2 linked regions of the Stegostoma tigrinum genome follow. The protein of the gene in region 1 purifies or fractionates together with the protein of each later gene. This does not show direct contact. Links are inferred from orthologs where the notes say so. Each region holds a gene or a part of one and is shown in the gene's direction. Other genes may lie near its edges.

What was found.
Region 2: the proteins of ubxn7 (region 1) and ufd1l purify together in Homo sapiens (affinity purification with mass spectrometry; 3 studies listed by BioGRID and IntAct, with this or other methods). This does not show direct contact. The link is inferred for Stegostoma tigrinum from reciprocal best matches to the Homo sapiens genes UBXN7 and UFD1.

The regions. Positions count from the first base shown.
Region 1 is NC_081367.1:6,714,626-6,725,796, forward strand, and holds the start of ubxn7 (UBX domain-containing protein 7), read left to right. Parts: upstream 1-6,640; 5' UTR 6,641-6,681; coding exon 6,682-6,760; intron 6,761-11,171. UniProt on the Homo sapiens protein: Ubiquitin-binding adapter that links a subset of NEDD8-associated cullin ring ligases (CRLs) to the segregase VCP/p97, to regulate turnover of their ubiquitination substrates.
Region 2 is NC_081379.1:43,303,440-43,313,887, forward strand, and holds the start of ufd1l (ubiquitin recognition factor in ER-associated degradation protein 1), read left to right. Parts: upstream 1-5,003; 5' UTR 5,004-5,147; coding exon 5,148-5,150; intron 5,151-6,308; coding exon 6,309-6,438; intron 6,439-10,202; coding exon 10,203-10,235; intron 10,236-10,448. UniProt on the Homo sapiens protein: Essential component of the ubiquitin-dependent proteolytic pathway which degrades ubiquitin fusion proteins.

The DNA.
Region 1 (11,171 bases):
CGAGTGTCAGTGGTGGAGGGAATGGATGCTTGTGGATGTAGTGCCAATCAAGTGGGCTGCTTTGACGTGGATGGTGTGAAGCTTCTTGTGTTGTTGCGGGCAAGTGAGAAATATTCTGTTACACTCTTGACTTGAGCCTTGTACCTGGCAGACAGGCTCTGGGGAATCAGGAGGTGTTACTTGTTGCAGTATTCCTGGCCCCTGACCTGCTGTTATAGCTACTGTGTTTATATGGCGAGTCCAGTTGAGATTCTGTTCAATGATAACCCATATGCTGGTGACAGTGGAGGTTTCAGATGGTAACCCCTTTGAATGTTAAGGGCCACTGGCTAGATTGGTCAGTTGTTGGAGATGGTCATTGCCTGGCATTTTTGTGGCATGAATGCTACTTGCCACTTTTCAACCCAAGCCCGGATATTATCTCAATCTTGTTGCATTTGGACATGGACTGCTTCAGTATCCAAAGAGTTGTGAATGGTACTGACCGTTGTGCAACCATCGGCCAGCATCCCCACTTCTGACTTTAATGGAGGGAATGAGATTGAAGCAGCTAAAAATGGTTAGACCCAGGATGCCACCCTGAGGAACTCTTGCAGAGATGACTGACCCTCAACAACCGCAATCATTTTCCTATGTGCCAGGTATGACTCTAACCACTGGGCAGCTTACCCCCAGATTCCCATTGATTTCAGTGTTAGCAGGGCTCTTTGCCACACTCGGTTGAATGCAGCTTTGATGTCGGGGCAGTCACTTTTACCACACCTTTGGACCACAGCTCTTTTGTCCATGTTTGAACCAAGGCTGTAATGAGGTCAGAAGCGGAGTGGCCCTGTGGAACCCAAACTGGGTGTCACTGAGCAGTTGCTGCTTGATAGGATTGTTGATGACACCTTCCATTGCTTTGATGATTGAAAGAAGTCTGATGGGGAAGTAATAGGCCAGGTTGGATTTGCCGCACTTTTTATGTACAGGACCTTCTTGGGCAATTGTTCACATTGTTGGTAGATGCCAGCGTTGTGATTGGAACAATTTGGCTTGGCAAGTGGCAAGTTTTGGAATGCTATCTTAAGTACTATTGTTGAAATATTGTCAGAGCCCTTAATCTTTTTTAGTGTCTAGTATCTGCAACAGTTGCCTGATATCACATGGAAATTGGCTGGGGACCGCTAGAGGAAATTAATTTTGCTTATTTGTTTATGTATGTAGCAAAAGTCCAACAGCAGCCTGTTGATATCCAATTGTTTTCAGAGTATCTAAGATGTTTCAACTCCACTGAGTCCATTCCATAAATTAATCACCCTGCATAAGGAAGAACCTCCCAGGTGTTTGAAAAAGCTACCTTTTCCTAGGTTGAACATGTTACTTTTGTCTGTCTTCCACAGTTTAAACATTCTAGGTATACCTTTGCCTTTTTAATTTGCTGTTTCGTATAGCTCTGTGATCACCTTTTACAGGTTACTTCTTTCTGAGCTGAAATGTAGGAATCTGTTGCTCTCTTGATTTTTTGGGACCCCTAAATGTTTGCCATTTAGGTTTAAAATAGAACAAATAACTGGAGATCTGAATGAAACGCAGAAATTGATGGAGAAACTTAGTAGGTCTGGCTGTGTCAGTGGTGAGAAAACAGTTTTGGCAATTTCTGTTTATGGCTGTTAACTTTATTTTGTATGGTCTTGGAAATAATAGACATTGAATTCACTGAGACTCAGTGTTTTTCTGCTTCACTCATCGCTGTCCTTAGGCTATGAAACAATGAGTTGAGTAAATGGATTACACAGCAGCAGTTTGACCGTTGAGTGGTAAAATGGTCATAGTCAGACAATGTGGAAAAGGACCCTTTGGCCCACGTGTCCATGCCAAGCAGGTTCCCTAATCTGAACTTGTCTCGTGTGTGTGTGTCTGTGTCTGTGGCGTCCACATCCCTCAAATCTTTCCTATCCATATACCTGTACAAATGTTTTTAAATTGTAATTGTACTCTCTATCACTTAATTTGGCAGCTCGTTCTATATGTGCACTAAACTCTGGAAAATGTTCCCCGTCCGCTTCCTTTTAAATCCTACCCCTGTCGCTGTTTAAACCTATTCCTCAAGTTTTGGACTTAGCTAAACTAGAGAAAAGACCTTGTCTATTCACCCTATCTGTGCCCCTCATGGTTTTATAACCTTCATATGGTCACACCTCTGCTTCCTATGCTTCATGGGGAATAAAACTCCCAGCCTATCCAGCATCTCCTTTATAACTTGAACAGTCTCTGTAACATCAATGAAGCAGAACCAGATCAACGGTAGAAGTTAATTGGCTAGGATGCAATGGAGACTTGTGGCCTATTTCAGTTATAATTAAACAATGGCTAGTGTTCTTAATGACAAAAATGCATTAAATTAATGAACTTGGAGCTAAGTTTAATAAATGAGTCAGTGAATCCTCTGGCCTTAGCAAGTTCTGTAATGAGCATGGAAAGAACCATTAGAGGTATGCAATAAGGTTAACGTGAAAATTTCTATTTGAATGTCATCTTTCAATGCAGCAAATTGTTCCAGTTAAAGTACAAAATGCCTACCTGATTGTTTTAACTGGATCACAACCATTTTAAAACACATAAACAAGCCTAGTTAATTCTTTTTCGATACTTAGAAATTCCATCTTTGATTTCCTTAGGACTTTTGAATGAAACATTGCCTGCAAACTGAGATTTTATTTTGTCTGATATGAGATGATGTATTATTTTGGGGGGTCAGCTTTGTCTTGTGGATCAAACTTAGAGCAGAGGCATTGACACATTTTGCATCTTAACCATGAATAAACTTTTAGTATAGTTAGTAGATGAAAGAAGTTAATTGCAATGTGAAACAACTTCCAGTAGAAAGTGTAACAGTTGAAGTTGAAAAAGTGCTCGAGTTATACGAGTTACTCTGCAAAGGCTCAGCACTATATATTAAAAGCAGATATCCATTGTATTGCTGATAAGAGCATTAAAACTTTTGTGTACTCCTAGAAATTGAAGACACTGAACAAAAGTGAAGTTTTGAGAGAAACCCAACAGGCTTGGCGGCATCTGTGAAAAGAAAAACAGTTGATGCTCCGAGTTCAATATAACCTCTCTTAGGAATTCCAGGTTCACATATGAGCCTTGGTGTCTGTTATCATTGGATTACAAAGCAGGCAATCTGTGGTTACTGAAATGCTGCACCTTGTAGGATTTAATTATTTTTCAATAACTAAATTTGACCTGATCAAGCAACTGAGGAAATAAACAGAATACAATTTAATTATAGTTATGAAGGTATTTCTTTTAAGGGAAAGTAGCTGTGGGATGCAAATTTAAACCAAATCATGGATTTAAGGTTATTCTTATGGGTCAAATCATAAACTTAGGCTAATCAATGTGAAAATGTTACGAAGTAAAAAGCTTTTGGTCAAGAACACAGCTATGTGTTGATGGTTTAGTTTTATAACTTGAAGTATGCAGCACCTCTTGGAGAACTAAAAAAAGTATGATCTTTTGAAAGTAGTTTCAGTTATTGTATTATTGTATATTCATATGATTCCTTTAGCGTGTAGGTTTTTGGAAGTTGTTAGGCTTTGGAATGTTCCAGAATGCATAGTATGTAGCAGTTGGGACATTGGAATATTGTATGTCAAAGAGGACACTTTAAAGGGATATACAAATTGCTCTACTGGTGCCACATTGTTTTGGTGGCGATCTATGAAGTTGCTAAGATATGAGGGGCAAGGAATGTGGTTAACATTCAAAGGAACAAATTGGAAGACAGCAGGAAGTGAGATCAGTAAGGTGACCAACTAGAAATTGGGCGCACCATGTTTAACCAACCTGAGATTAAATGCACGGTCGCTGTCTGTTGGGAAGCTGAATGATTCTAAATAACTTGGTGCACAACAAAGAAATGGAAGAACAACTTCAGTCAACCATGAGCCAGTATCTCCGTGCATCAATGAAAACCACTTTTTATTGAATATTATTTCTTCTGTACCTGTTTAATTAAATTTAAATTCTATCAAATATGGAAAAACGTACATGGAATGGATCTTGAACGTAAATGGGACGAGTCAACTTTTAGGTTAGTTCTCTCAACTTGGTCTGTAATCATAATTGACTTGGGTCTTATAATTAAAATGATCCTCAAATATTACAATTTTAAAGAAAAATAGAATAAATTTTCCCACCTGTATCCCTTTTATGTGTCTTCAACAGTTGAATGAATGTATAGTTTGGATTGTCCTGTGGGTTACTGAAAGAATTGCCCAGTCTTTTTCATGTTCTCTGGAACAGTGAGTTAGGCTACTTGACACTTATCACAAGCTTACTTTCAGGCGATCTCAAAAATGTTGATTAGAAGGTGGAAAGATCTCTGGTTCAATAGTGGTAGTTGTACCTTGGGACCAACTGAGAAGGCAGCAACATTGGTCTTCACTTCTCTTCAATGGTAGTGAAGTCTCAATTCAGATTAATTATTTTAAATTTGGATTGTTTTAAACATGATGCAGAATCTTTGAGTCTTAAATAGGATGGATTTGATTAACACACATCCAAAGTCCTGTGTCTAATGAGGAATTTGTCTCAGAGCAGGGAGGACTCTTATCACTCAAAAATGATGTGTGTGTAACAGCTAGTACACTTAGCATGCAGTGTTATGGAGAAGGGGAAGGTCAAACTCCTCAGCTAAATAATTTGAAACACCAGCCCCAAACTGTTACAATGGGAATAGAGGTTCCCATCTACTAATTAAACAACCAGAGAAGTTCATCTTGCCCCTCAATCTGTTAAACGAGTAGGTAAATGAAAGGAATCACTAATGCTCACTTTATCAGCAACAAGAAACAGTTTAATTATTTAACCCTAACTGAACAATTCCCCTGTGATGACTATTTCCTAATACAAGATTCTAATCTTATGCTGTTCCAATAAACACAAGCAGCTCTTACGTAAATCCAAATAATAAGAAAACAATAAATTGAAACTTAGTCTCTCAAAGTTCACATTGTCTTTTGAAATGCTCTGTCTTCTCCATCCTCTCTACAGCCTTCCTTCTGCTGATCTTCCTGTCAGGGATGTTTTCTTTGTAACTTCTGAGAGTGCTGTGGTACTTTTGATGCTTCTTTTTTAAGAGAACTTAATGATTTTGTGTGAGAGCTCGGTTTATTTCTTAGATAGTAGTTGGCTCTTACTGATTTTCAAAAATCCCCTTCTTATATACCCTGACTGACACATCAATTTCTTACAATGTGATCGGTTTACAGTTGTCAAAATGATCATTTTAAATTTAATTGGCTTTCGATGGCTGAGTTCAACCTGTTGCCAAAATAAGACTCCTGTTTCGCCTGATTTGTAAGGTGTTTTTCATATACTTGTTTCAGTTTGGGGCTCTCTGCACAGTACTTGCAACCTTCCAAGTACAGACAAAGCACAATATTTTAAAGGGAACGTGCACTGCTTTTCCCCACTCTTATTTTTACACATTCTAACTTCCTGCCTTTCAATTCATGAATTTTCTACACAACTTCATGACAGCAATATATTTTTAATTGTTTAAGATGACAAATTGTACTACTATGGATAACTTGGTTGAAAAGAAATAAATCAAGGATAAACAAAACAGCGTATCTTAAATCTTGTGCAAATTGCACTTATTCATATTGTAATCATGCACTGTCTTAAGGTGCATTAAATCAGCTTTGCAAAGAAAGCAAGTTCCTATTTTTAAGTGTTGCTGTGGACTTCAGTAACATCCAAATTCACAGCTGCAAACAAATGTAATTGTACATTTCTATACAATCGTTATGTCTGCATCTTAAAATCGTATAATATTATGTGACATAAGTGCTTCCAGTACTTTCCTGATAATCGCCTAGAAAAGGCTACTTAAAAGGCTGTCTAGTGAGAGCGGATTAAAATAAATATGCTTCAAAAGCAGAATGAGGATGTTGGCAACAGTAACAGAAATGTATATAACAGACAAAATAGAGTTGTGTTCTAGTTCCGAAAAAATCGTAATCGACTCGAAGTGTTAATTTTTGTTTCTCTCTTCATAGATGCTACCAGACCTGCTGAGTGTTTTCAGCACTTTTTGTTTTTGATTCAGTTAGTTTTGTTACTTATTGTCAATGTCCCCAGCGTTCAACTTTTGTATGACGATGCCCTGCCGTCAGAATCCTTCGCAAACTCGTTAGCAGTTAGCATTTTTAAAAAAAATCCAAACATCATTGCTTCAAAATATCTAGGCTGTGTTTACAATGGGTATATAGGGTTCAATACAAGCGGTTGGGCCAGAATATTCTGACCTCTAGGTCGAGTTCCAAAACTTCGAAGGTAACAAATTACAAATAAAGCGCCCTGAACTGTCCGAAGTCCAATGGGAATTTCTCGTATTGGTGTTGGGGTGACGCGGAAAGATTGCCATCACGATTGCGGCAGTCGCTGCTGATTTGCAAACAATGAGCGAGCTCTCCAGTCAATGGAAAGAGACACAGAAAGCATCGTGTTGCCTTGATCAAAGATGTCCCTCCAATTTGGCACGCGTGCCGAGTGCGCAGGCGTGGAGATGGGGCAGCCGGCCAATGTGGTTGGAGGGATGACGTCACGTCCCCGTGTGGGAGAAGAGAGGGACTGAGGGGAGAGAAGGTTGGGCCGAGTGCGCCTGCGTGGGCGCTGCGCGGTAAGATGGCGGCGGTTGGTGATGGAGCGGGGTCGGCCGGGTCGGCGTTGCAGGGGTTAATCCGGCAGTTCACAGCCATTACAGGTAAACAGGCGAGAGGGCGGGAGAGAGAGTGGAGCTGGAGGCCGTCACCGCCCTCAGGACTCCCATCTGCCTTCGTTGTGACCATCCCTCACCACCAGCCATCCTCCCCGAGGACTGGGAGTCCTGGGCCACTCAGCAGGCCGGGCCCAGGGCACTGCCCCATCACACCATCCCCGCCCCCATACTCCACCCGATGGAGTCGCCAGAGCCAAGGGGGAGTCCCGGGGTGAAAAGGTCTGGGACCGTCCCCGACTGCCCCTTGAAGGGAAGGGGGGTTTGCTAGTTGCCTTGCTAGTCCCCTGATTTGTATATTAGTGCTTCTGCCAGTTCTTGAGGGTGGTTATTGCCCCTGAAGGGTATTATGCCCCTGCCAAAATCTTGAGAGCTGTTCATGTCCCTGCCAGTACCTTGAGTGATTGTTATTGCCTCTCCTAGTCCCCTGAGGTTGCTGTTGTCCCTGAGGAGAAGGGGGGATGTTAATTTCCCTACTGACCCCCTGAGGGGGGAGTCAGTGGTCCTGCCAGTGTTCTGGGGTGGGGGTGAGGTGATGATCCTGCAAGATTCCTGAGAGGGTATTAATGCTGTTGCCTGTTGCCTGAGAAGGATTTAATGCTGCTACCAGCCCCATGAGATGGTGTTAATGCCCCTTTACCCTGTGATCTCTGCCCAGGCCATCTACCTAGCTCCTCAACACCATTCAGAGAGTCAGTATATTTTGCACTTCCTGGTACCCATTCTGAAAGCTTGCTACGTCTTAGAGGAAAGAACAATTGCATTATATTTGGTCTATTCAGAAAATGTAAGTACAGGAATTTAAATGTTAATTCCCCTGGTTTTACAAACTTAAGTAATCAACAAGCACATCATTTTAAACTTTGTTGTTTTCTTCACGCTGTCAGGCCTCCTAAGTTTGTGCTGTGACAAAATGAATAAACAGAACTCTATGATTGCCTGAGTAACTTTGGGTTCTTTAAGCTAGCAACAATTGACAGAGCACTCTTCTAATTGTCTTCCAAGGCAATTGTGTTATTCACCAAAATGGGACACAGTCATCTATTTATTGTCTGACTGATGATTATTTCCTATAGTTGAGTGCCGAATAATTCTGTTCATACTTCCCAATATCCTGCCTGCTGTCAGTCAAGCTGTTCAGCATTGATTTTGAATCTTCAGTTATGTGTACGATAATACTTCAATCTTTTTAGTTAAATTACTTGCAGTATTGTTTAGTGTATATGATATGTATTCATGTGTTCGTCCTACCTTTTATGTAATATGCAGTTGTAAATAGCTTAAATGCTATTTGTTATTGCTTTACTAATTTTCTGACTGCATACTTTTTTTGTAGAATATTGGCCTCCGCTACAGTCTTTACCGTTACACCTGCCAAACTATTGAGTGTTCTCTCAATCTCACTATCTTGTTAATATGTACGCCAAACAGTCAGGAAGTTAGCACTGACCCCAGGGTAGTACTAGTGATAACCTGTCTCAAAACTGATCAACAGCCATTGCTTGGAATTCAGTTCCTGATCTAGCAAATCATGCACAGGGGAAAAAAGCACTTGTATGTGTTTAGCATTTTTCATGAAACCAGGTGTATCAAAGTACTTTGAGTCAATGAACTTGTTTTTGAAGTGTGGAAATGTGGCAGGTATTTACGGCAGACTCCCACAAGCAATAAACTAATAGCGATCAGACCTGTTTTTGTGATGTTGATTGAAGGCCACATTTTGGTTATGATATTAGTAGTAAGTCCCCTGGTATTCTTCAAAATAGTATCATGGGTTTTTTTAACGTTCACACAAGGAGACAAATGGGGTTAAAATTGTTTCAGAGCTAGTACAAACTGCAGATGCTGGAGAATCTGGGATAACAAGGTGTGGAGCTGGAAGAACACAGCAGGCCGAGTAGCTAGGCTGATGTTTCGCACTTAGACCCCTCTTCAGAAAAAGAGGAAGGGTCTAGGCGTGAAACGTCAGCCTTCCTGCACCGCTGATGCTGCTAGGCCTGTTGTGTTCATCCAGCTCCACTCCTTGTTATCTGAGACAAATGGGACCTCGGTTTTGTGTCTCTTCTGAAAGTTGGTATCTCGGACAGTGTACTGCTCTAAATCATCACTGGAGACTGTTACCCTTTAGCCTTGGAGTGGGATTTTAACTCAGCTGACAGTACTATCAACTGAGCCATAGTTAATGTGGAACAATATTGTGGTATGAATTTGTCTTGTAAACTGATCTGGCATAAATTGTACCTTTTGTAAAATCCTTGTAGAGAATAACCTTGAGATAACCCTGGTCTATTAACCTTATAACATTTACAAAAATTCAAACGCGAGTTTTTAAAACAACATATGTAGACATTGTTGTGTTTTTACCTTTATGTACTGTCAGAACGTAAGAGATGAGGGTTGACCGTCAAACTTGTTGCACTGTTCAATATGATCTCGTCAAAACTTCTGCAGCTTTTCTACTTTCCCACTCTGTCTTCATATCCCTTACTTCTCCCTGGAAATACGTCATGTATTTTGACATAGTACCTTTTAGTTTTAACTGTTTAATATTTTTCCCTGAGGTGACTTTAATCAGTAATGTCTTATTAAAATACTCTTGCCAGTGTGTTTTTTTTTAACCTAAATAACATGTCTGCACTGATAAGTTTTTATATAACTACCTGAACTAGGGCTTGAGCTTACCACCCTATTTGATCTTCTCATTACATGATTTGCCAGGACACAGGCTTATGGGCTGCTATATGTGAAGTCCACTCCAATGCTATAACTCTTTCTATTCAGGTACTGGTGTCAGTTCCCCTGAATTGAAACACTCATTTTCCACAGCACTGTTTTAGCAATTCATTTAAACCTCAAATCTTGCTTGAATCTTCTCCAATGTGCAAGCTGTTCACGTAGCAATTCATCCTATTGAGGTTCGCATTTTAATTTTATCCAAGCTACTCAGACATCCTAAAAATCTCATTCCTTCTCCTACCTATATCATTGACTTAAATATGGGCTACTTTCTCCTCCTCCTCTTCCTCCTCCTCCAAGTTCTCTAGATGTAAGGCTGTAGCATGAGCCTAAGTCAGCTTTGCAGTGCTTCTCCTTGTTAACAATGCAAGATGAGGTCCTGTTGCTCTTCTGCAGTGGCATCTCTTACAATCCAATGATGGATGTCAAGCAGATGGACCTTTGGATTTCTGACTCTGACAATTATCTAGTCAACATTGGAAGGTGGGTGGCTGATGGAGACGAAACAGTTCTGTATTCACTATCTTCCTTACTCCCTTTCTGATTGGCAATCTCTCACTTCCCAGAAGACTTATAATTTTTGCACAGGCTAATCTGAGAGTAACGCATTTGGGTTGAATAATAAATCAGTTGTTCTGGGCGGGGCATGTGATGCCAAAATTTCCTCCTTGATCTCTTGGAATCAGATAAAATATACTCTCTGACTTTGCAGTTTAGATTAAAAACTGCAGTTGTATTCATTTATATGCTAGGTGAAATAAAAAGTGACGTCTGCTGGGGTCAGAACACTTGTACGATGTCACAGTACCTGCAATTTATAGCAGCTCTCGGTTGTCTCCCGTAACAAGTTTAATGTCAAACTGAGTCCTTCAGTATACTCAACAGATGCAAACCAGATCAGGATGATCCACAATTAGTCAGAACTGTTGATTCATGAATCCAAAGCTCCCACGTTTTTCTTCATTAACTTTTTGTCGACCAAAGTGACCTTGCTGCGATACATGGAATCTCTCCACCCTGGGTAAAACATCCAGTACAGATAATGCTTCTCATCGGGAATGGTTGGTTACTAAGCAACACGTATAGAGGTCAGGGAACACCCTTTTGAAGTAGTAATCGCCTGCTAGCTAGAGAAGTGTATTTTCTTTGTGTCTATTTCTTCACTTCACCCCCCCCCCGCCCAAAAACACGTCACAAAAGTGACTGTTTCAGACACCCATTGGACAGGACCATTTCTAATCACTGATGTATACTACACTTTAATTGTTATTGTATCTGTTGCCTTGTACAATGCACAAGTGTGCCCACCTTCTGGTTTTTGTGTATCTTGTGATTGTTAAACGTGCCCACTAAGGTTGTGTGTTTATCTAGAGCAACATTCTCAGATGGTAGAACTGTATGTTTTAGTTTGCATATGTAAACTTTCATGTTTGTACAATACATGAAAACAGCTACCATGCACTAAGATATACATAATTCTGTACAGTGTTTGTGCTAGCTGTATGGAATGCAGCATATTGTACTATCAACTCTACTGCAGCATAACCTAACTTTAGTGTCAGTGCCATATCAATGCTGCATGTGATTTTGGTGTATGGAGGCTGGGTTTAAGATCATTCTTTTTGTGCACTTTTAGTGACACATGTTGAAGGTACTGAATGCT
Region 2 (10,448 bases), on another chromosome or scaffold:
AATCTCTAGTTAAATTTTTGTTAAGGCACAGGATTAAGGGATATGGACCATAGGCACGTTTGTGGAGGTAGGCCATACAGATTAGCCATTGAATTGTGGAACAGGCTTGAGGGATTGAATGGCCTACTCTTGTACCTATGTTCAAAGTCATAGATGATCTCTCATTAGACTGGTAGTGCAGTATTAGAGTTGTATTAGTTTTGTAAATAAGACAGAAAAAAGGAGAAGAAATAAACACAAAGGTACATGACATAATGGAAGACAAGAGAGAGTAAAGTGACAAAAGATATGGTATTAGGACAAGCAGTACTGCAGCTGTGATAAAATAAAGGACCGTGGACACGAGAAATCTGAGACAAATGCAGTAATTGCTGAAGAAACTCAACAGGTCTGGCAGCATCTTTGAAGTTCCCTGAAGGACCACTGGACTCAATGTTGTCTGTTTTCTCTCCACCCGCAGCAATTTATGCTTTTCTTAAAACTAATTTGTGTCTGGGTGAAGGAGTTAGTATGTCTTGCGTTCTTTTTTCCCTCTTTTTCAGCCTCCAGTACTAGCAAGAATGTGAAAAGAGAACCAAAATGTGTCTCCCCATATTAGTACACAGCCTTTCCATTGGCTTGCCTTCAGCTGTACTTCCTATCCAGACAAAGATTCATGGGAATTTCATCCTCTTATCAATGCCAGCTATACTGCCTACCCAGATAACAACCAACAGGATCACATCTCAAATAAACAGGCCCTTTTACACGGGGTCAAATTGGACTTGAAGCATTAAATCTGTTTGCCCTTTCCTGGATGTTGCCAGATTAGCTGAGATTCTCCAGCACTTCTGTTTTCATTTCAGATTTCTGGCATCTTCAGTATTTTATTTTTATTTAAATTGTTAAATATTCATATTTTGTACTCTGCTGAGCATGGTTCGTCAAGGACAGGAGAAAAATAATGTAAATTGGAGACTGAATACTCAAGATCAAGGTGCACAGGAATCCCAGACAGTCTGCTTCTAGTTAATTACCAAATTTATGACCAAGGTTCTTGAGCAGCTGAATATAACATCAACAAGTTGGGTGCTTTTCTTTATCATTTTGGTTTGATTTATCCAAATTTGACTCTTAATTTGTTTTTTAATGTGTTTAAAATAACTTTGAATAAAACAACACCCTCCTCCCCCTTGTCCTTTGTTGGTGTAATTTCAAAGGAGACATTTACTTGAAACGGGATAAGTCTTACCTAACTAATCAACTATTTAGAAGTTGCTTCAATTGATTAAGTAATTCAGGCAGATTTCATGGCTTGAATCACAGAACCTTAGGATTCTTATTTTAGAAAAATAATATTTAAGGCCTCTTGTGGCACACTGGTATTGCCTCTATTTCTAGACTGACAGCCCCTCGTTTCAAGTCCTGCCTGCTTTTGGAATTACATAATAACATATCTGACCAGATGATCTGAAAAGAAAATCTTACTTTTTACAGCAAACTCTACAATATGATACACTTACGTAAAATGTTTAACAATTGTTGTAGTTGAGGGGAGTGCAGCAGTTAATTGGCACAAGCCATGGCTTCACAATCAACAGTGAGAAAAACAGATAATCTGTTAACAAATAGATATTATCCAGTAGTTGAACTTCCCATTCATCTTCAAACATTGTCTTAGGATCTCTTATATCCACTTGAGATGGAAAAGGAGCCTTGATGTCTTAGGTGAAAGACAGTACATCCAACAACACCATATTCCCTCAGTAGTGCACCAAACTATCTGCCTTGATCACGTGCTCAAGTCTCTTGAGCAGGACTTTAAAAAAGACTTCTGACTGAACCATGGCTGAAAAGTCAATTGTTCAAAAACAATTAAAGCCATCCAAGCCTTCAGTGTTGGAATTTTTTGTCCTAGTCATCAACTGCCTTCAGAGTCTCATACAGATGTACTGTATCAAAAATCCAGCATGGTGACATCTCAAAGATATTTAATATCCTGCCAAGACAACTGGAGTGTTTCTAATAAGTGATTTTTATTGAGGTATTTAAGATTGTGTAGGTTTGTTTTCATTGCTCAGTGACATGGTAAAAGAGAGTACAAAACTTAAAAGGCATTGGCCAGTTAGAAAAACTCCTTTCGCAGCACTTGAAATTCTCTGCCACAGATTTGGGCTGAAGCTGAGTCCATATGTTCTTATAAAAATTTAATTTACAGTTGTTTACAAAAATAATTATTAAGGAGTTCAAAATCTGTAAATTGGCTGGAGAGTAAATTGACACAATCACTGGTGTTCCATGTTACATTCCATATCTTTATTCTAAGTTGGAAGAGTTCAGTTGCAGTATCAGAGAATAATTGTGCAGTCATACAGAAAACAATTGCTGTTGGAAATCTGTTGCCAAGTCATTTTGTGTGTATTGTACCACAATGGGCCTACGATTGGAAACTGAACTCATCCTTATTTGTGTGGCAGGAAGGATTATAAAATCATGCCTTTCTTCATGAGCAATCAGGTTAATGATATACTAGCTAGCATGCAATAAAAATTGGCAGCGTTGTATTTAACACATAGGTATAGATTGTATTAATATATTATCAATTTGCCTTGATTTTAACTTGTTTGATATTCAATCATGAGATGTAAGTGTTACTATTGCCTTAGTTACCCTTGAGGAGATGGTGGTGATCTTCCTTCTTGAACTGCTGTAGTCCATGTTTTGCAAGTAGACTCACAATGTTACAAGGGAGAGAATCCCTGGATTTTTACCCAGTGCCCCCGAAAGAATGGCCATATGTTTCTGAGTCAGAATGGAAGGCTTGGAGTGAATTTGCAGAAATTTGGTGTTCCCATGTGTCTGTTACCCTTGCCCTTCTAGATGGAAATGGTTGTGGGTTTGGAAGGATCATTGGAGAATTTCTTGTGGATCGAACGCTCTGCTGCTATTGAGTTTTGGTGGTGGAGGGAGCGATCTGTTTTGTCCTGGAAACTGTCAAGTTTCTTGGGTGTTGTTGGAGCTGCATCCATTCAGGCAAGTTTGGAGTATTCCATCACATTCTTGACTTGTGCTTTGCAGATGATGTACCAGCTTGGTGAAATTGGGCAGTGAGTTACTCACCATAGTATTTCAAGCGCCTGACCTGTACTCGTACCCACTGAATTTAAGTGGTGAGTCCAATTGAGTTGTGGGTCAATGGTAACTCCCAAAATGTTCATAATGGAGGATTTACTGATGGTAAAAGCATTGAATGTCAAAGGATGTTGGGCAAATTGTCTCTTATTGAAAATAATCCTATCCAGCATTTGTGTGGCATGAACATCACTTGCTACTTTTCAGCCTGGGCCTGGATATTGTCCAGATCTTGTTGAATTATGTTATTTTCTCAACATTAATAAGTTTTAAACATCATTAACATATGACATTTTTCAAAACGTTCCACTTTTCACCATTAAGCGAAAGATTGGCATTTATATAATTGCAAACAAAATGACTTTTGCATTCAATCCCAATTTCCCTGCTTTAGGAAGCATGTTAAAATTGAAAGGTTGCAGAAAAGATTTACATGGATGAGCCTGGGTTGGTGTGTTTGAGTTATAGTGAGAGCCTGAACAGGCTAGGCCTGTTTTCCCTGGGGCGTGGAGGTTGAGGGTTTATAAAATCATGAGGGGTAGGGGAGTCCAAAACAAGAGGGCATAGGTTTAAGGTGAGAGGGAAAATATATAAAATGGACCTGAGGGAAAACTTTTCATGCAGAGGGTGATGCGTGCATGGGATGAGCTGCCAGAGGAAGTGGTGGAGGCTGGTACAATCGCAACATTTAAAAGGCCTCTGGATGGATATAAGAATGGAAAAGGTTTGCAGGGATATGAGCCAATTGCTGGCAAGTGGTACTTGATTAATTGAGGAAAGCTGATCAGCATGGATGAGTTGGGCTGAAGAGTCTGCTTCCTTGCTGTATGACTCTATAAGCTGCTCTGTGCTCTGCAAGCTCCTGATCCAGGTGTAAAAACTAACTGCGAATGCTGTAAATCAGGAATAAAAGCTAGTTGTTGCTAGAAAAACTCAGCAGGTCTGGCAGCATCTGTGAAGGGAAAAAAACAGAGTTAACGTTTCGGGTCCGATAACCCTGTGCAAGGGTTAACTCTGCTTTTACCTTCACAGATGCTGCCAGACCTGCTGAGCTTTTCCAGCAGCCTTGTTCCGGATCCAGGTATCAGAGATAATGGGAACTGCAGATGCTGGAGATTCCAAGATAATAAAATGTGAGGCTGGATGAACACAGCAGGCCAAGCAGCATCTCAGGAGCACAAAAGCTGACGTTTCGGGCCTAGACCCTTCATCAGAGAGGGGGATGGAGGGAGGGAACTGGAATAAATAGGGAGAGAGGGGGAGGCGTACCGAAGATGGAGAGTAAAGAAGATAGGTGGAGAGGGTGTAGGTGGGGAGGTAGGGAGGGGATAGGTTAGTCCAGGGAAGACGGACAGGTCAAGGAGGTGGGATGAGGTTAGTAGGTGGACTGACCTATCCCCCTCCCTACCTCCCCACCTACACCCTCTCCACCTATCTTCTTTACTCTCCATCTTCGGTACGCCTCCCCCTCTCTCCCTATTTATTCCAGTTCCCTCCCTCCATCCCCCTCTCTGATGAAGGGTCTAGGCCCGAAACGTCAGCTTTTGTGCTCCTGAGATGCTGCTTGGCCTGCTGTGTTCATCCAGCCTCACATTTTATTATCTCCGGATCCAGGTATGTTGAGCCTGGTTGCTAAGGCCTATTCTCCCACCCCTTCACCAGTTGCACCAATACGGTGTGTAAATGGACAGAGCTGTCCCGAAACACCCAACCATAGGCAAATAACTAGGCGGAGCTTTGTTCATGCCCGCATTGATTGGTCCGTTAGCTCAAGAATGCTGCCAAGTCCGGGCGCTGATTGGTCCGATACTGGACAGCGCTATTGGCTGCTTCGATGAGGTTGGCGTATTGTTGATTCTGACCAATAGGAGCCCTGTCCTTTGCCCCATTGCTGGTCGGCGGAGCGGCTTCCGGCGGATATGGCGATGTGCGGTCAGTGAGTCTGCAGTCTGCGCTGATCAGCAAGTTGTTAATTTGATAAAGAGCGAACCCGATTGACAACTCAATACAGCGTCGCACCCAGAATAAAGTCAAAGATGGTAAGTTATTTGGAGTGTGCATGGGAGGTACTGTCAGTTCGGGATGTGGAGACGAGACACAATCACGGGCATGGATTCTGGCCTCAGTCATACCCCACAGCCCCTCTCCTGTGTATTTAGTGTTTGGGGTTGAGATGGGGGTAACCGGGAGCTAGCGCAGGTTCTGTGCTCAACCAACATAAATAATTGTCAATAGTTACGGATAGGAAATATGATGTTATAACACATTTCCTAATTTTGATGTTTAATAACCCGAATCCTGAAAGATGGTCGCTGCTTTTAATGGACTGTTTTGTTTTATTATTTGATAGAGCTTGACAATTCCAGCCGAAGCTGTGTAAAATTCAGCTCGAAAGCCCTTCTTCACCAGCCACATACTGGGATAGTCTTGGCTAAGATGTTGACTTGGGGAAATTGAGTAATAAGTGATGAGTCCATCATTGAATACCTTTTCAAAATAGTATAAGATCACTGTAATGCTGAACCACAGTTGTGATAATCTTGCAGGGAAATTGTTTCGCTGGAAAGTAACATCTAACAGATTGTAGTAATTTTAAGTTTACAAATAGTGTTTGGGTACTGTTAATTTGTTTAGATTTTTTGTGAATCTGTCAACAAATTTTAGTTTTTTTTGCTAATATTTTTTGTTGGTTTATACTGAAGGCAGTCTTTTCACCATTAGATGCCAATGCCATGTTTTGAAAATTAGAGCAGTTGTGTTTTTTAAATAGAAATGTAAAATGTGTGAAAAGCTCATTTGATTCGAGCAACACACTTCAATGCATACCATGCATATAAGGCAATGGCTCTAATTGCATTTATCCACTGTAATCCCATATATCTTTACAGGTGATTGTGAGAGCCACTATATAAATGAAATTTAGTAGTTTTGCTGAATTAATTTTTATTTCCAATGATTAGTCAGTCTAATATCTAGAATTCCTCTGTGACACATTAGGGCCCTGATGAAGAACCTGGAGTATTCAGACAAGAAAGGAGGGCAAGGGTAAATGAAACCTTCCAGCTTATTCTTTGACCTCCTTCAGTAAACCCTAGGAGAGATATTAAATATATTCTTTCTGCATTTTGATGTGATACATTTTGATGTTTTTCTTTGTGACATTTCCTCATTTTCTCTCTCTCTCTCTTTTGTTGCAGTTTGCCTTCAATATGTTTGATCAGGCAATTCCACATGCCTTTCGGAATCGTTTCTCAACACAGTACCGATGCTACTCAGTCTCTATGTTTGCAGGCAGCGATCGATCGGATGTAGAGAAAGGAGGCAAAAGTAAGTGGATGGGAAAGTGGTGCGATGGGTGTGATCGAACATGTTTGTTGGTAATCTACTGGAAAATGAATTTGCTTCATGAATGAGCAGGCTGAATAGTGAGTTATAGAGGTGAAAGAGGTTTGATATTCTATTGTCCTGTTGATGAATCTTACTTATGATGCAAGTGCTAGGTATTGATATGAAATATATTTCTAAATGTCTATTTGAAAAGAGATTCAAGAGAACCACAAATTGAGATGATATGGAGTGGTACCAGAATTAAAGGGAAGTTTCTGCGGAAGACTGGTTTGTGAGATAAGTGCAGTGTCGTTCAGTGGGAGCGCTATACCTCTGAGTGGCGTGAACCCAGATCTTCAAAGACCTGAACGTGTAATTTATTCTGATATTTCAGTGCACTTTTGAGAGGCAGCTACACTGTTGAGATGAAATATTAATTTTATGCCCCATTAGCATTTTCTGGGAACTACAAGGAGACAACTACTTTAGGTACATTTAAGTCATCATTGGATAAGCATATGGACGTACATGGAATAGTGTAGGTTAGAGGGGCTTCAGATAGGTATGACAGGTTGGCATAACATCGAGGGCCGAAGGGCCTGTACTGTGCTGTAATGTTCTATGTGCTATGTACAAAGAATCCCAGATTACTGGTTTAAGAATAATTGAGAATTTTCTCCTATATCTCTTCAATCAGTACCCAAGATTACAGTGGATAGTTGTAGTCTGTATGTTAGAAATGCAGAGGTGCTGGAAAAGGTGCATTAAAGATTTAAAAAGATAAAACCAGAACTGAGGTTACAAGAAAGACTGAACAGATTGGAAACGAGTGAAGCCAAAGATGACCCAATAATGGCATATCAAATTATGAATTCTGATAGGATACATAAGAGATAATGTTCTGGTGGAAGCTCAAAACTAGGAGCTTTAAGATAGTCACTAATATATCCAAAATGGAATTCAGAAGAAACTTATTTCCAACTAAATTTTTTCACTGCTGTCTTACAGGCATCTTGATTCAGAGCTTAGGAAAAAAACCCCAGGAATTTCTGGAAAAGCTCAGCAAGTCTGGCAGCATCTGTGGAGGGAAATCAGAGTTGACGTTTCAGGTCAAGTGACTCTTCCTCAGAACTCGGGTCACTGGACCCAAAATGTTAACTCTGCTTTCTCTCCACAAATGCTGCCAGACTTGCTGAGCCTTTCCAGCAATTTCTGTTTTCGTTTCTGTGGAAAGCATGTGCAGTTTATTTTTTTTTTTAAAATCAGATCTTAGGCGTTGGTTTCAGGAGGGAATCGTTTTCTAATGTAAAGCTAATCCCCAGCTGCTTTTTTGACTCCAAACTGTAGTCTCAAACCACACTCTCCTGTTGTCTTCATTCTTGTGTCCAACAAGCTTGTGTGAAGAGCTAATATTCTTTGTTCCTACAGTCAAGTCCCATCTATTTCTGATCTGCTGCCTCAGCTACATGCCTTTGTTCCATTGGCCCAAAGCCACAAATCCAGGAATATTCCCCCCACTCTAGCCCTGAACACTGTCTTATGCTAATTTCTGTCCAAACAGCCTTTGTTTCTTCTCCAAACTCATCCTGTCAAAGCAGGCTACTTCTTGCTCTCTCAACACTGTTCCCACTAAACCATTGACCACCCAACCTTCCATCTGGATCACCACGAAACCAGCATTATTAACGCACCCTCTCTCTCCCTTCACTCTTTCATGTTCTCTCCCTTAAATCTGTCACCAACTCTCCTCCAAAAAAAACTTGCTTATGTCTAGACTTACTGTCCATCTCAGACCTTTCTTTGCTTTTCACAGCCATTGAACTTGTACGTTCCCAAATCTGTCCCCATTTTTCTCAGTTATTTTTAAAATCTCTTCAATTACATTTCTGCCCTTTTCACAGTTCTAAAATCTTGTGCCAAAGTCTCATATGCCTGTGTCTCTCTCAACCTGACAAGGATAAACAACTCCTCCTCCTCCTCCTCTAAGGACTCTTCACTGACATCTAGATGTCTGGGATTGTTCTATGATTCACTTTCTGCTGCAAGCCGTAACCTCTGGTGTCTCCTAAAAAATCTATCCTTCTCCCCTCTTATTTATTAATTAAGGCTTAGCATTAGTTTTCACATGTAAGCTGATGACACCCATCTTTACCTTACTACTACACCTGTCGGCTCCTCTACTATTGCTAAATGTCAGACTGTGTATTCAACATCCAGTGTAGGATGAGCAGGAATGTCTTCAGATGAAATAGTGGAAAAACTTAAGCCATTGCTTTGATCGCTGTTTCAAAATTCATCCCCTAGCTTTCAACTCTATTTTTTTGCTCTTTCTCTCTGGCAGTGCTCTGATACTGATCACAAACGGAAATGATTGTCAAAATATTTGATTTTTGAGGTGGGCTTTCAACATATTTACCCCATCACAAAGACTAATCTGTTCGCTGGTTCCCTTGTTATCTGTCTTCCATAATCCACTCCTGTCTGGTCAAGTTTATCCAAAATGCTGCTGCCTGAATCTTTATTCAAACCAAACCTGTCCACCTATCACCACTGTGCTTGATGGGCCCTGATAATGCATCATCTTCATTTTAAGTTTTTGGTCTTGTTTTCAAACCCCACATTTAGCTCACTGCTTTCTACCTTTGTAATCTTCACAGTACCTTCTGACGTAACTTCACTCATCTACTTCTGGCCTCTTGTGCATTTTTCAGTTCATATCGCTGTTATTAGTGACTGAGCCTTCACTTGCCAAGTCCCTAAGTTCTGGAATTCCCGTCTACCTTTCTTTCCTCCTTTTAAGATGTGCTTTTAAAGCCTGGCTCTTTGCCTGACCATTTAAAAGAAGGCCTTGGGTAGTAGTAGAACAGAGACACCTAGGGGTTCATGTACCTAATTCTTTGAAGTTTGAATCCCATGTAAACAGGGTAGTTAAGAAAGTGTTTAGCATGTGTGCCTTCATTGCTCAGACCTTTGAGTATAGGAGTTGGGACGGCATGTTGAGGTTGTACAGGACAAGGCCCCTTCTGGAGTACTGCATTCATTTCTGGTCGCCCTCTTGTAGGAAGGATATCATTTAAGCTAGAAAGTTAGGAAGAGATTTATCAGACTTGTTGCTGGGAATGGAGGGCCTGAGTTATCATGAGAGGCTGGAAAGGCTGGGATTTTTTTCACTGGAGCATAGAAGATTGAGGGGTGACCTTATAGAGACCTATAAAATCATGAGATGTATAGACAGGGTGAATGGCATGTGTCTTTACCCTAGGGTTGGGGATTTCAAGACTGGGGTATATTTTTTAAGGTGAGAGGGCAAAGATTTTAAAAAATACAAAAGGGGCAATTTTTTAAAAAAATGGAGTGGTTTGGATGTGGAATGAACTTCCAGAGGAAGTGTTAAGTGCAAGTGCAGTTACAGCATTGAAAACACATTTGGACAAGTATATGAAAAAGAAATGTTTGGAGGGATATGGGCCAAGCACAAGCAGGTGGAATTAGTTCAGTTTGGGATTATGGTAGGCATGGACTGGTTGGACTGAAGGGTCTATTTCCGTGCTGTATGACTGACTTTATTTGATCATTTAACCTTCGATCTCTTAATGTTGCTTAATGTCATATCTGTTTTGTAGTATTCTTATTAGGCATGTAGGGATGGTTTATTTTGTTGAAGAGTACTATAACCAGAACTTTGTTTCAAAATTGGATACTGGAATAGTTTGCTTTTTATTATACTTATCTGCATTGCATTCAAATTTTTTTTCTCTCTGCAGTAATAATGCCACCATCTGCTCTGGATCAACTGAGTAAGTACCTGAATCCCTGAGAGCAGTTTTTAACCACTGTTGAACAGCAAATTAATGCAAGCAACAATTTGTAAAAACAATTAGTTCCTTGACATGTGTGTCTTGACAAAGGTCCTGTCAGATTTTTTTGAACAAATCTCTCTCTTGCCCTCAATTCTAAAGCATTCACCACTATCCAAGTTCTTTTTTTTTAAAAGAAATGTATTGCATTCT